Neodiprion lecontei: one gene and its partner. The protein of the gene in region 1 purifies or fractionates together with the protein of each later gene. This does not show direct contact. Links are inferred from orthologs where the notes say so. Each region holds a gene or a part of one and is shown on either strand. Other genes may lie near its edges. The genes, in order: syndetin and EARP-interacting protein homolog.

Region 1 (9,530 bases):
TTGTCAATGAGGTCAACGAGTGAACTGATTTTTGAACTGTTTTAATTTAAGCATAAAATGAGTGATAATAATTTTCGTAACGTCATTAAAACATGCAAATTCCGTAATAACAGACGAAAGTATTCTTTGAGTTTCAAAAGCTAACCATTCAGAGAGATCTAAAGATGGGATTGATTGACACAAATATCAACCGTAGTGAAGAACGGCTCAATGGATGAAATTGCGCATCACAAGTCTAAAATATTAAAGTAAAGAAACAACCCTAGAAGTTTCAGCAGAATCCATGATCCGGTCTGATACTAGCGATGATGCAAGTATACCACAGTCAGACCAATTCTGCATGCAATGCCGAACAAAACTATTCAAAAACTCTTTGATTTCGTTCGAAACACAATTGGTCATTCAATTATAGGAACTCTTTTCTTGGCATTAGATGAATATTTTAATAAAACGTAACTGTTTTTTGGACATTTGTATTCGGCATTGCACATGAAATTGCACTAGCTGCTGTATTTTCACAGCAGTGATGCGTAGGCTTTGATAAGTTAAAATAAGTGATATTTAAAGGCGGCCGATAAAGACGGACTGTAGTATCCTCTCAATGCAGAAGACCGGTTCATCCACTAGTTCGCTACCGTTGTTACCGACTCTTTTCCTACTGTAAAATTGCCAAAATGACGGTACCTGATAAAAGAATATGGGGAACCATAGTTACGATTAAAAAAGTTGCATTTGAGCGGTCAAATAAACTTTAATTATGATTCAAATTACCAGAAGAAAGGAGCCAAATTAATTAACATTGTGTTATTATGTACTGTGACTTAGTGTTAACTTCACTTGAAGACCAGCACTAGTTAAGTCTACAAAAGTACAAAGTACTTCATATTTCCCGCGTTTCACCTGCACGATGAGCAGAGCTTTTGTCGTTGACTAGCTTCAGTCGATGCTTTTACAGCAGAAAGAACTAGAAAAACATCAGTGGGGTGGCTGAGTCTGTGCGTTGACTGAAGAACATAAAGACGGATACCCCTGGGTACATTTTTGTGACCAGTTTTCGCCCGGCAAGTGGGCCCAGGCGGGCCTGGGAGCGTAGCAGGGTTCTGCTCTATCAACTCTAGCCAACGAGCTCGCACCAGCATTCGTACCAGCCAAAGTAGTGTCGGTATGAAAGCTCGAGATTGAGTCGGTACAAAGTGAGTACGTAAGACTACTTGTCGACTGCGACTTAAAAATGTCGATCAGCTCGATCATCCCCGTGAGAAGAAGCGTGACCTCGTCCACCGCCAACCGCCGTCAACCACCTCCGACCACCATCGACCACCTTCGTCCTCCTCGTCCACCTCGTCTCCCTCCTCGTCTTGCTCCGCCACAACCCCCACATCATCCTCGTCGTCCTCGTCCTCCTCGACCAACTCCGATCACCGCCAACCACGTCCAAACACCTCCTACCACCTCTTACCATCACCAACCACCTTCTACCACACCCTGCCACCTCGTACCGTCTACCGCCGCCTACTAGTTCCAAACACCTCCAACCACCTTCGACCACCTTCGTCCTCTTCGTCCCACTGCTCAACCATGTATTTACATTACTATTCATAATTATTCCAACAACTTTTCATTTGTTGCCTCGATCTTGAATTTTCGTACGCATAGAATCGAAACGCTGTTTCAGCTAGTCGCAAGTGAAGTATCTACGTTGGGTAGAGAAACAGAATTGTTTTTGGAAAAGTGTTCGTATGGAATAAAATTCAGAGTAACTGTAATACATAACGGATGCGCTAATTTTGATCGAGATGAAATGGATACTTCGTATATGAGAGAGTATTTAACGCAGCGTCCTGATTTAAAGTTCTCAAAAGGTGATTGTCGGCGATTTTTTTCTTTAATAAAGAGAGACAGAATGAAGCTTCTGAAAACTTCGAGTATATTGTAACACACATTTGAAATGTACGAGCAAACATTTTTATCATTCAACTGTCGCAGAACGGCAGTGTGATTAGCTGACCCGTTAACTGAAGAATCCTTAGTCAACGGCTGACCATCAAAGGGTCTAGCCGCTTGAGTCTGGAGACGGCAGGAAAGATAAAGTGCGTATTTCTTGTCTGAAATGTAGAAACTAAAATCATTATACATATATCATATCATATCATCATACATCGTACATTCCGTCTGTTTTCAGACCGGATAAGGTTTGTTTTTAAGTGCCAGCTCAAAAACCTTATCCGATCTGAAAACAGACGCGTAATGCCGAATTTGCGGGAAAATGGAACGACAAATAGAATACATGGCTCGCGCCGTAAAGAGGTCGAGCAGGACTTGCGTTTTACCGGGCAAATCGCATACCCTGCAACGACCTCTTTTCGGCGCTTGCCACGCAATATACTAGCACTCAAATCGGGAGTCGGTGTCAAAGCATTGCAATTATGGCTGCCGATCGTGAAAGAATCGAAGTGGATGCTGAGACAGCAACTCTTTTATTAGATCTAATTTCATCGTCGTTCAGCAGTGATGATGCTTGCTGGAGCCGAAAGATAGAGAGATTCCCAAAATTTTAAATTTCATAGGAGTAATCCACAGCATGTCCGATATCGAAGTATGGATACACATTTTTTCAGCTTCTAGAGGTCAACTGCTAGGTATATTTCAGGAGATTGGGAAAACTTGACTTGTTGCTTATTAATTTTTATCTTTTCAGCGGAATTGTCAATTTTTTTTGCCCTTGTATGCTCGTGTCTAACATTTGTGACATTTATTTACAAACAAAAAATTACCGTTGCATTTGTTCAATTGGCTTCTTTACCACTTGCTTGAAAAACTGACAGTCGCGCAGTCGGTCAAGTAACGTCACATTATTTCTGATTTAGGAGAAATTATGATTTAGTCTGCCTTTATACGTTTTACGGCCTGTTCCACTCAGAAGGTTTGCCCCGATGCCGGGCGATGCATGCACGGAACGAGTGCCCCCTGTTCGAGCCAGTGCGCACCCAGTGCAACCAGTGGAAAACGCTATAAGAGATTTCATTGGACGGATCTAATGAAATAGGCCAATGAAATTACTTAGTATAGTGTCGTGTCAGAAAATTGATGTAAAAGGAAAGCGGCCTGCGAGCTATTAAGGTTTCGGATCTCTATACTTTTTTTTAATCGATGACAGAGCTTTCGTGTCGCGAGACTTAACTTTACCGATTTGACAGCCTTGATAACGTTGATGTAGTCTTGACACATGACACGGTGCGTGGAATAGAAATAAGTCCTCCAAATGTCCAGAAAGCGCGTGTGCTAACGGTATTATTTGGATGATTCATTGCTGAGCAGAGGTGGTAACAGCCTCTATTATAACAGCTATATAAATGGATGAAAGTAAAGTGGGAGTTTTGTTGAGAAAACACATCGACATGGAGGATATCAAGTTCAAGTTCTTATCGCTGATTCACAAGCAGGTCAGTTCCTTGTTCAGCTTGTTTCTTGTAATTGATTTAAAATTGCTCTCTACCTACTATTACATTTTTGCATCTTCCTCAATGAGTTTCACAATAGTATACAACTTTGTTTCAGTGTAAAATTTCACTTGGCACTCTGTCGATACCAGTATGTGTGCCACCTTCTCGAACGCTAGTAAAACTAACCGAAGACTCGAAACAGTTGCTTTTTTTATGGCGAAAAACTGATTTGTATTTTTTTATTTTCAGAATCAGGCTAAGATCCCGTCAATGGGATTGAATCCCGATCTCCTCAACCCAATCGAATCTCAAGGCCTTAACGACATTCAGTCCGATGCTAGTCATTCGACTGAAAGCGAGCTGCTTCCCGATCAAGACATTCTGGAATCCATAGAATCTGTGTATTACGAGAGCGATGACTGCTTTGATTGTTGTCGTCATGAGTTACAGAAACTTCCCGAAGTTCTGAATTCTAAAGTAATCGAAAGAGACTACAAAAGGCTTAAACAAGAGCACCAAGTTGTTTCTAAAAAAGTGTTACAGCTAATATTGCAAAAGCAAAGCTTATGCCAAAAGGAGTTCGAAAGAATCTTGTACATTCAAGAAGAACTTCAAAATGCCTTGGAAATTTGCCGAAGTGGAAGGATGGATTTAAGCCTTGCTAAAAAACAGTTCACCACTGCTAGTCTTGGGATTTTGGCTAACTATCAAAAGAAACAAGTCGTTCAAGGGCTTCTGCATAGTTTAAACACCATAAAAACCTTAGTGAGTTCCTACTGATATTACACGTGCAGTGATTCTAGACCAAAAACCAGGTGAATTGTTTAGTCTGAACATATAACAAACTATTCCACATCGATATCAATCTTTTAATACATATAAAAATATCATGGAATATTTTTTAAGTTTTCCCTGTGAAAACCCTTGGAAAATTGGAGAGTTCAAATTTGTTTTGTTCTTTACAGATAGCCTAATAATTTAATTTAATTTAAAATTCAATGTTGCAATTTTTCTTTACCAACTCTTTTTAACTAATTGTAAATATAAATAGAAACATTATTTCGAGCTTGCAGAAATAACATAACGATAAAATTATCTAACTAGTTGCAGATTTGAAGTACGAATAGTTGATATACATAGGCAAATACTTGAGCGTCACACATTTTTTTAACTCAATGCTTGTTTTTTTCTTCTTCGAAAGCGTAGCAACGAACAGAGGACCGCCTTCAGGAACTTCTGAACGAAGGGAATTACCCAGGAGCAATATCGCTGCTCCTTGAATGCCAAAGAGCTGCTGAGAGATATAAACATTTTCATTGCGTAGCCGCACTGAATGGGAAACTCCAGGACACCTTGGAACAGGCGGAAGAAACTCTGGATCAAACGCTGGCAAAAATGTGTACAGAATTTGAAGTTGGGACGTATTTGTCTGTCCAAGGAGCGTACAGACTTCTCGGAAAAACCCAGACGGCAATGGACCAACTTCACATGCACTTTACAGCAGCTATTCATAACGTTGCTTTTATGGCAGTTCACGCTTTCACCGGTGGTGACACAAAAAGGCCTTATAAACAGCTCTGCCAGTCAGTCTCGCACGAGACATTTCTACCTTGTTTAATCGAACTGTGCAAGTCTCTCTGGGCCATTTTAATTTCCTATTGTCAAGTTGTCAATTGGCACAATACGCATGAAAGCTGGTCAGATGAGACTGAAGAAAAAGATCTAGAAGCTACCTTTAATAAACAGTATGTTAAGCAAAAGCTGGAAAATGGAATGTCCAGAATGTGGCACGATGTAGAAACCAAAATATCCACGTATTTGTTGGGCGCTGATTTGGCCTACTTCAAGTTTGAGCAGTTTGTACAAATTTTGGGAATCGTTCATAGGTGAGATCTGATATTTTACATTTACTGTCGAATTACGAGACGTCCTGAACCATGTTCCTCAATTTTCTAGGTTAATCGAAGTTGGGGAAGAGCTCTGCTCAAGTCAGTCAGAGAATCTCCAAGAATCAATAAGAAAACAGTGCTCTTCCTACTTTGCTCATTACCACGCGTCTCGATTAGACGAGTTGAAGATATTTTTGGAAAATGATGGCTGGGAACTTTGTCCTGTTAAGCCATCGTTCGTTGTCACGCAACTGCAAGAATTTAAAAGCTTGAAGACTGTCCTCAATAGTTGTAAGCCTCGCAATAGCCCTGACGAATCTACCTTGAGTCAAGATGGTAGTTCTGTCATTGGAGGACTGGTCCAAAGATATTTGGATAACGGTGTAACGCCCTTTGATGTCATCCTGGATGAAGCTGCTGACGAAGACATTTTGGCCAACATTGGAGTAAGTATAAATGAAAGAAATTGTTCAAAGTTCGTTAATAATTAATTAGAATGCAAGAAAGTGTTGTTAAAAGTAATAAAACTTTTAGCAATCTGTAGTAGTTGTCATTTATTTTAGACATTTTTTTAAACACTCAATCACCAGGTTTTATAAAGAGTATATTACCTTTTACAGGATGCACCTTCTGGGTATTTTTCAGACGATTCTGACGACGACATTCCGGAGGAACTGAAATGTGATTTTGTAGATGAGCCCGACCAATCGAAACCCTCGAAAAAAAAACATAAACAACAATTTGCTGGGCCAATGGTAACAAACACAACGTTGAGTGTGCTCAGAGTTTGTGGAAAGTATCTACAAATGTCAAGATTATTTAGATCCATTGCTGTTACTGTTATTCAAAATATGACACAATTCTTTGAACTGTGTCTTTACACTGTACACATGTTCTTCACTTCGGATCTGGTATGTTTCTCACGATTAAGCATTAAGGTTACACAAAAATCGCTTATAATTGCATTTAAATTTACCACGCTATTTCTACTATATTACGACACAAAATTTTATTTCAGCAAATAAACAGCGACACGTTGTACACTCCAAAATTAAAGTTGACCTTGGCTCGAATACGCGAGACTTTGATGGCAGACAGTGCAGTTACGACTGAGAGTGGAGCTCAGTCACATAAAGTAACACAACCGTGTCTCTCTTCGATAGTGAACTTGACTCAGCCAGAAAAAATTCATGGCTTGATGAAAAGAGTGATAGCCGTTGAATCTCTGATATTTTTGGGACAGCAGTACGAAATTTTGAGGCCTTATTTGGAGCACCTAGTAGCTTCTCCCTGCCACGGATTTCTTCATCAATTCTATTCCCAAACGATTGCAGCAGCTACAGATCTCCGAAAACCTGTTTACATGGCTGCTGCATCTCAGTCCTTCGATGTTGGCGGTATATTAACGCTGATGTCGAAAGTTAATTGGGAAGTGAGAGATGTTATGTCACAGCACAGCAGTTATATTGACAATCTATTAAGGGTAATTAGTGACAAACATTTGTGAAAATGGGTTCTGAACGGAAAGTTGATGATATTGTTACAATTATGTCATAATGTACAAATACAGTAGCAATGAAACGAATTCCTGTTTCAGGACATTCAAATTTTAAGCATGAGGCTTGAGGAAATTGGGAACAGAATACCACTTCCTATAATAGTGTACAATTCAGTGTGGGAAAATATTGCTCACTTGATCACACACACTTTAGTCGAAGGGTAAGAACTTCGGACAGATCAAAGTAATTTGAATGTATTGACATAAAAATGAATATGATATTCTGAATGGATACGTAGGCATTCAAATTGTTCGTTAATGTTGAATCTAGCAGGTTGAATTTGTGATTTCAGTTTCTCGAATGCAAAGAAATGTTCAAATGGAGGCAGAGCCTTGATGCAGTTGGATTTTACCCAATTAATGTCGAAGTTTGAAAAATTAACATCTTTGCGACCTATGCCGCACAGAGAATACGTCGAGGCATACGTCAAGGCTTATTATTTGCCTGAAAACATATTGGAAGAATGGATAAAGCAACATAAGGTATGAATTTCTATTTATATACAGTACATGATTACTCGCCCGTTTGTGATTGAACGTATTTCATTGTTGTCTGATGGATCCTACTACTGATTACAGGAATATTCTACAAAACATTTGATCGGTCTTATATCGTGCGGATGTCAAAACAACAAAAAAACCCGACAGCGATTAATATCCATCATAGAGGAGGAACGACCGAGCAGATAACAACAAGCTGTATGATCAATAACTGTAAAACGAAGTTGCAATAGAATTATAAAATTTGAATATTATCGAATTGCTGCTCTGCTATAATTATAATATAAATCTGACACAATTATTGTGATACTTAAGTTGTCAATACTGTTATGTATATGTTGTACAGTTTCTCTAACTGTTAGGTAAAAAACACATTCTAGCTTTACAGCAAATATTTCGCAAATCGGTGCATATCATTACTTAATGATACTTACATTCTGTGTTAAACACCGATATGAATCTCTCATTTGAACATGTGCGAGTAACGGTTGTTAAATATTTTTGGATTGATTCAGAAAAGATTTAAATGGAAGAGATAAAATACAGACGGGAGGCTTATAGATATAAAAATAATTGAACTGGTTTCGATTTTCGAATCCAAACCGTGACGAAATCTCCCTGCTGGCAAGTTACGATGTAATCTCATTGAACTCACGTTGGAAAAGTTATTATCTCTTATGTACATTGTTTATACGATTCTTTACTATGAATTTTTAATCCCTAAAAAGTGAAATAAAGACATATTTGTAGGTATTTATAGAGTAAGGAATTGATTGAAATTGACTGATATAGGGCACCATAAATGACACTTAGAAATAGAAGGAACCACATAATTTATTATGTTGCCTAAAAAAATTAATCTCCTTTTCAATAATAATTTACTTTTTATCAATTCAAATTCAGGCTGTTATAACAGAATATAATTATTTATAAATTCATCAGATAGCGTAAATAAATACATAAACGAAACTTAAAGTATTGTGTTACACGATATTCTTCATACTTACTAAAACTGATACGTGTGTAATAAACCAATTAGTTCTTAAAATTCGAATGCTTACTTTCCGAAATTTGATGGCCTTCCCAATAATTTCAACTGATTTCATGGCATTGAAACTCAGAGGACATGCAGCAATCACAGTCAGAAATTGCTGTTCGACTCACACCACAATATCCGTTATCAAAATTCACCTAAGAATTGTTAGCAATTATTCTACAGCTGTCATTAAATATGATAATATTGTTTCTAATTTTCATACTGGATTTGACAATTTTTACTTCTTTTTCATACTCATCTATGAATATAAATTGTAGTAAAAGAAACAACGCGTTTTTTCTCTGCTTCTATGTCACAGAAATTATGATACATTATCGTAATATATTATTATAACTTTGTCACGTTTGCTCGATAAATTGGGCTAGTTAAAAGTAATCGAAAAGTACTAGTATTTGTACGAATTATCATACTTGTCACTATATAAAGGTATAATTCAATTATAGCGACGTGGTTTGATTAGGTACAAAAAAAACATACATTTTTTTTATTATGGTCCATAATATCAGGTATAGCAGTTACACTTATCGTAGGAAACGATTTTTAATATTAAATTAGGGATTATAAAGTTTTACGATATAAAAAAGGTCGTCAACTTTTAAGAAGAAGTAATAGTGATGCATTGTTCGTATTTTATATTTATTTTTATTATTTTTGTTTTCTCCTCGCAAATTCCGGCCATGCAAATCATGAGGGGAAAAACCATTACATGGTACGAAGAAATGTAACGACAAAATGACACGAACGCGAAAATTTTTTGGACTGTACTACTAATTCTTTGCACGATTTATATAGCACATGCCGCTGAAACTAACATTGACACACTGGACGGACTAAGCACTCGTAGAATCGAATAGTTACCTAAAGTAACCATGAATCACTTACGACGGTAAATATTAATAATAGTAATAATACGTAGACTAAACTATAAGGATTATTAATTAAATCGTAAAAATAATAAATTTATGTACATAACAGGTCTTCAGTAATAGAAGAAGCGTTTAGGTTATATAATATACATATTGCAATAAAGCATAGCTCGCTTAATCTCATTTTTAAAAATGTTATATTGGAAACGTTGCAAA
Region 2 (6,271 bases), on another chromosome or scaffold:
TGGGCTCGACCTCCAAGCACGTGCTTCGCTCCCTTCAGTCCCATAACCATTCATCAAAAGTCCCGCACGACACACGCGAGGCTCGAGCTCCCTAGCCCGGTGCTTCTTGGATCAAGGTAGAATTCACCTTATATTCAGGATTTAGCGGCGTCGAAAGCTCGTAGCTTCCGACACATTTCCCGTCGTACGTTCTGGACGTCTTCGCGTTATAGTTCTCTGTAATTCTTTCATGAATACTATAGACATTTTTATTTTCTATTTTAGACTAATAAAACCCATCTGCTGTACTCTGTGCTGTATATATATATATATAGGGTGGTATTATACAGTGGAACGCGCGTTAATTTATTAGATGGAGGGGGAATCCACATCTGCTTTTACTGCTCGGGTGACATGTGAATTCAAACACATTTCATATTATGCAGATCAATTTAAAATATATTCAATCGAAACACTGACACTACACAGAGGTATCGGGCGTACCAATTATTATCGTTGCTATTGTTGTACGTGTATGTATACCGGCAGAGTGAGCGACGACGCGTTTTAATTTGATACAATTGAATCTGACTCAAGTACATTATAATAACTGCATAGAGAGTTTTCATACACAGATATACGAGGAGGTTATAACTTTATGATCATACGATGAATTGGAGCAGAACAATATGTTGCGAATGACTCGCACGAACATTATAAATCATAATTGTTGTCAATTAATGTACGCAAACGTTGCATTTCAATTCTATTAATTCGTTGAAAAAAATATAGTAAATAATAAATAACTCTATCAAAAACTTTGTACATAACTTTTCGACAAATTTTCTCAATTTTGATGGTTACCTATGCAAATACAATTAATTTACCGGGTCAATGTTTCTCAATTTTCTACGATAGACGTATAATGTTTTGTGAACGTAAAACTCCTCATTCTGTGTGCTTGCTGTAAATATTTGATCGCTATTTCGGGGTTTCTAGGGTATAATCGAGGGTATAATTTCTGTTCAGCCTGTAAGCCGAGAAGACGATCAAGATTACTACGAGTCTCCGGATCAGCTGTTGACCCTCGATCGAAATGCGTATAAAAGATGATAGACAAAGATGCACAAATTTTTTCAATACACATCATATGAACTAGAGGTTCTTGTTAACTAAGTAATCGACGTTTTCGAACCCATTAGCCCTTCTCCGTTCTTAACAAGTGTAAATATGTACAATCGGCAGAGCGAATAAATAGATCAATAATCGTTAGGACAAGGCTTCCAAAATGATTAATCCAGACGTTAGATATTCGCCCTGTATAATTAAAAACCCGTAATGATTGTCAGTACCGCTTTGCAGCCCTTCGACGTCTCGTTTAATAGCTGAGCAAAAGCATTTATCGACGCGTGATAATATTTTTAATGCATGTAGAATATAAATTTAAGGGACGACTGTCCCGGGCAATTAGCTGCCGAATTCGCTGCTCGAAAATTATACAAATTACGTGTAACGGATGTAAATCCAATATCATTCTAAGATTGGTAGAAATTGCACTCTGAAAGCACCGACTTCATGGCAATAATTTAAATTATGAGAACCGTTGGTAAACAAAAAAAATAACAGCATGTTGCAGAGAGGATGTCTGAGACGAAGGATGCCTAAGCCAACTATACGTATAATAGTAATTACAGTTATTGATACAGACAAGTCTATTTCTCGGGCATATGAACGTTGCTGAGCTGAGCAGTTTTCTTTTTTAAGGCAAAAGAGACAATTTGCATTGATTTAAACACGAAGATCCGCATTGTTCGTTCGATATTTTCCTTCAAGGATTGTATGAATTGCCAATAAATATCCTTTCCAAATGCCACGGAATTCGTTCCAACTGCAAATGCAACTAACGATTTTAGCTAAAAACAATTTGAAATCGAAACGACGATGTTAATCACCGCAAAGGATATAACAAGTTTGAGAAGATCGCACAACACGTTGATAAACTGGGATTTTATCTACTGCGTCTTCGTTGAATTTAACGTGATGTCATGCCAGCAGGATTTAAGTTTATTTGCAAAATCTGGGCGAACGAATATTGTTTACTTTTGCAAATCCTATACATGTACAAACACGTTCATCGTAGTAAAAACGTTCGATCATTTGAATAGTCTCAGGAATAAGAGATTACATTTTACCGTTCATCATTCAACGGCTCGAAATATCGGTTGCGAGAAACTTTGCAGAAATATTAATGGAACCGACGGCCGTCTTGCAAACAGGTAACTGCACGGAATTAAAAACAACGCCGCAGCAGTAGAGCGAGACACACACTCAGGTATACTCTCATCCCTGCACAGAAGGACAGTGTGACATGTGATTTTATATCGGGTTTTTGAACATCCTCGGTACAGCCGCTGGGCTCGTTGAACCGTAAACCTGTATCCGTCACAGGGACGAAGGCGTAAAAATTAATACAAAAAAACCGTCTGAATCCTGGATATTACTTACAACTGGTGCGGCGGCGTCAGCATAACTCTATTAAAAATAATGCACAGGTATAGACACGTTCACTGCACCCACGCACACGGCTCCGATGCTAATCGGACATGTTACAAAACCGATACAAAACTTCGCCCGCAATGCAACAGACCTCAAGGAGCCCTCGAAATCAACGGGTTTGTGTTCGGCTTTCGGCCACTGTGGTCCGTTTGACATAATTTATTTGGTGACCCCACGACGGCTGCTTCGGGACTTTCAAGGGTGGGGGGCCTGCTATGTATGCGTATGAAAACTCATTGTGTGCGTATGCGTGTCTGAATCGCGGTACAGGCATGAAGTAACTGGCACATGTAGATCCGCGCCTGGCGTCTGCGGGGTTTGTGGCACGACTGCGCCATCTGACGAGACTAGGGTGTGCGGTACACGATACGGTGGTTGAAAAAAAGGCTAAAGAATTTAGATACGGTATGCATTAAAAATGAAGATAAAGTCCTTTGGAAATGAAAAGCTTTTCATCCCGTTGGATGAAAGTTGAAAGGAAATTTTACACCCTTGAAAGTTTTGTCCAACTTCTATACGGTTCCACGATGTTTGAAGCTCTTCCTCAAAAAAATTACATGGTTGAGATCTCTGTTGGGTTTAAGCTCAATGACTTGAACGACTGTACTTGAGAAACTTTTTGTTGCGGCATGGTGTGTTTTGACACCTGTCAACAGTGACACTGACCCAAAGGAATTATTTTATTCTACGAAATATGGATACTGACAATCCAATAATATATGGCCTCGAGTTTCAAGTAAGAAGGTTAATCCACCAACGTTTATCTTATTACTTTCATTCGACATATTTCAACTTTACCAGTAAGACGATGTCTAACCTAACCTAACCCGACGTTCAGAGTTTGAAAGCCAGGAAATCACGAATGAATTGTTGCAAGTTTCATTGCACAGTTAAAGGATTTTCACTCGACGATTATGTTTTGAGAGCGTATTCTTAAGTAATACATTTCATATTTATTTCAGGCTAGAGCATTATCACCTCAAACAGCAGAAGCTGATATCGTGAGATTTCTGGTCGGAACGCAATCGTTGAAGTTTCACGACAATCAAGTACATTTGGTTGAACTTGACGAGGAAACAGGTAGTTTGAAAACGCAAGTCTTTCAGCACTCGATTGGAGAAATATGGAACTTACAGGCCTCTCCTGCCGATCCATCAAATTTTATTACTTGCTATAATACTCTGAATGGTGAGTGATCATTGGGCAATTTATTCGCTTCACTAACTTTTGAAAAGAAACACCTGAATAATTCTGATAAACACCTAATTCGTCAGATGAAGGAATTTGTCAGATGAAAGGAGCTATATGGAAATTGCCTCTTACCGAAACTGACGCACACGAAATCCAAAAACTTGAAAATGCAGCAGAAATTGATACAACCACTTATGGCAGTGATCTTAGAATTATTACTTATCATCCGACGGATGGTACTAAAGTTGTTTCCGTCGTAGACAATAACTTTGTACTCTGGGACCTAGCAGCTAGTGCTCCCAAGGTATTTCCCTTTGCTATTTACAGGGCAATTTGCGATTCAATTGATAATTCAGTCTGTAACAGATATTAATAAATTTATGAATTTCATATTATTTTCTCAAAATTTTAGGCAGTTACGCAAGGGACCTTGGCTAGTAAAGGTCAACCAAAGTTTACTACTGGTAAATGGAATCCACATAATACTTGCAATCAATTTGTAACATTAAATGACAACCACGTGCGTGGTTGGGATTTTAGAAATCCAACTGATCAGGTGTGGGCAATCCAGTCAGCTCACTCTCAAATTATAAGGTGAAGATTAATCAACTCATCTAAATATTTTCACTAAATTTTGCAAATTCAGCAACAATGTATTGAACCTACGACATTGCAGAGACCTGGATTTTAACACCAACCGTCAATACATCTTGTCAACCTGTGGTGATGATGGCTATATGAAATTTTGGGATATCCGACAGCCATCTGAGCCTGTAATGTCGCGAATGGAGCATTCTCATTGGGTTTGGAGTATCAGAATAAACCGTTTCCACGACCAACTAGTTCTAACATCTAGTAGTGATTCTCGAGTAATATTATGCAGTATATCATCTATTTCTTCAGAACCGTTTGGTCACCTAATTTCAAGCGAAGACGAACCTGCGCAAACCGATGATGGCTCCAACAAAAACAAGTAGGCGTATTCAATTTTATTTTTTTGTCACCTTATGACGCATGATGAGATAAATATCAATCCATGTTCGTTATTATTGGGATTCGTGAATAATTTTCAATAGAGCTTGCTCAATTATGTGCCCAGTACTTACACTCAAGGGTCAAAGTCAAGTTTTGATCAAGCATCGATTAGAGATCTATTACCGACTCTGAAGATCAATTCTATTTTATATAACCAACAATTTCAGAATGGAAGATAGCGTTGTAGGAAGGTACGAGGAGCATGAAGACAGTGTTTATGGAGTTGAATGGTCATCTGCTGACCCGTGGACTTTCGCGTCACTGAGTTACGATGGCAGACTGGTAATTAACAAAGTGCCACGAAAATATAAGTACCAAATACTATTGTAAATATTAAAAGTAATAAAGAATTAAATTTTATATAAATTTAGAAAAAACCTAGTTTTCATTTTGCGTAAGAGTAAAGAATTGCTCAACTGGTACAAGTGACGACCAATATTATTGATATACCAATCAACCTGCAGTTGATACAGAGTATTATGTAATTATTCGACATACATACTTTGTTACAACTCGCAAGAGATAATTGAAACCATGAGTAAAAATGTGAAATAATTTTTGTCATAGACAAAAGGTAGGATTTATATTCCTCTCTCTGAATTATGTACAATAGTTTGAAGTATTTCTTCCAGTGTACAAAAAAAAGTTAGCCACAAATACACATAATTATACGTAAGCAGTTTGTATCGAAGCAAATGAGAATTTGCTAATCTGTTACAATTGCTCAATCCAAATATTTAAGACTGTTATTTTCACTGACACGGTTTACGTTTGTTAGCAATATGGTAAACATAAAAAGAAAATAAATTTTGCTGGGGAGTTTTGACTGAAACGTTTAATTACAATCGCTCTGATATTCGGCCAGCGACATTCCTCAATTGACCATAAACTTTTGATGGTGGACTTCCCAAGATTAAATTGCAAATTGCTCTTCGTGCAAGTTGTATATTTTGGAAAGATCCAAGAATATGAATTTTAGTATCAGCCAAAACTATTCTTGTTTTTGTCACATTTTCAATGGTAAATTTTGTTCTACCCCCTTTGCCAGCTAACCTACCTATCGCTCTGGACAAATGGTCACCCTTCAGTGGTTTCACATCTTGAACCTCGAATGTTTCGACAAATAAATCATCCAACCGCAATAAGGCCAATGCATCTTCGACTTCAAAACCATTGATGAATGCCCGCACAAAATCAGCAGCTTTTTGAAGATTTGATATATCAGGTGTGTCAGGGCATGTACGAATTTCTACATTTCTAGATTTCAAATTAAAGCGAATTTGAAGTTGTAGATGCTCAACAACAGGGGTGAAGATCTTCATCCAATTCTCTTTAAGCGGTGTATATCTATGCGCAGGCACTGGAACCTGAAGAAATCACGTGAATTATTTTAACATGTTGTTGAAATGTTGACATTACAGTGAAACTTCCTAATAGCAAACACCTTTGAGACCAGAAATCTTGTCCGCTATAGAGAAGTGTCCGTTACTAAAAGGTATATTTTTCATTA

Evidence for each region.
Region 2: the proteins of syndetin (region 1) and EARP-interacting protein homolog purify together in Homo sapiens (affinity purification with mass spectrometry; 4 studies listed by BioGRID and IntAct, counting the BioPlex papers as one, with this or other methods). This does not show direct contact. The link is inferred for Neodiprion lecontei from reciprocal best matches to the Homo sapiens genes VPS50 and EIPR1.

What each region holds. Positions count from the first base shown.
Region 1 is NC_060266.1:19,305,779-19,315,308, reverse strand, and holds syndetin, read left to right. Parts: upstream 1-3,153; 5' UTR 3,154-3,353; coding exon 3,354-3,443; intron 3,444-3,692; coding exon 3,693-4,208; intron 4,209-4,649; coding exon 4,650-5,329; intron 5,330-5,399; coding exon 5,400-5,778; intron 5,779-5,952; coding exon 5,953-6,243; intron 6,244-6,350; coding exon 6,351-6,815; intron 6,816-6,929; coding exon 6,930-7,051; coding exon of another isoform or gene 7,052-7,055; exon of another isoform or gene 7,056-7,074; intron 7,075-7,183; coding exon 7,184-7,373; intron 7,374-7,469; coding exon 7,470-7,580; 3' UTR 7,581-8,144; downstream 8,145-9,530.
Region 2 is NC_060262.1:28,533,927-28,540,197, reverse strand, and holds EARP-interacting protein homolog, read left to right. Parts: upstream 1-3,096; 5' UTR 3,097-3,229; coding exon 3,230-3,271; intron 3,272-3,497; coding exon 3,498-3,723; intron 3,724-3,809; coding exon 3,810-4,030; intron 4,031-4,138; coding exon 4,139-4,320; intron 4,321-4,402; coding exon 4,403-4,699; intron 4,700-4,731; exon of another isoform or gene 4,732-4,928; coding exon 4,929-5,091; 3' UTR 5,092-5,127; downstream 5,128-6,271. Other genes in the region: RNA-binding protein pno1, read right to left, coding at 5,601-6,128. UniProt on the Homo sapiens protein: Acts as a component of endosomal retrieval machinery that is involved in protein transport from early endosomes to either recycling endosomes or the trans-Golgi network.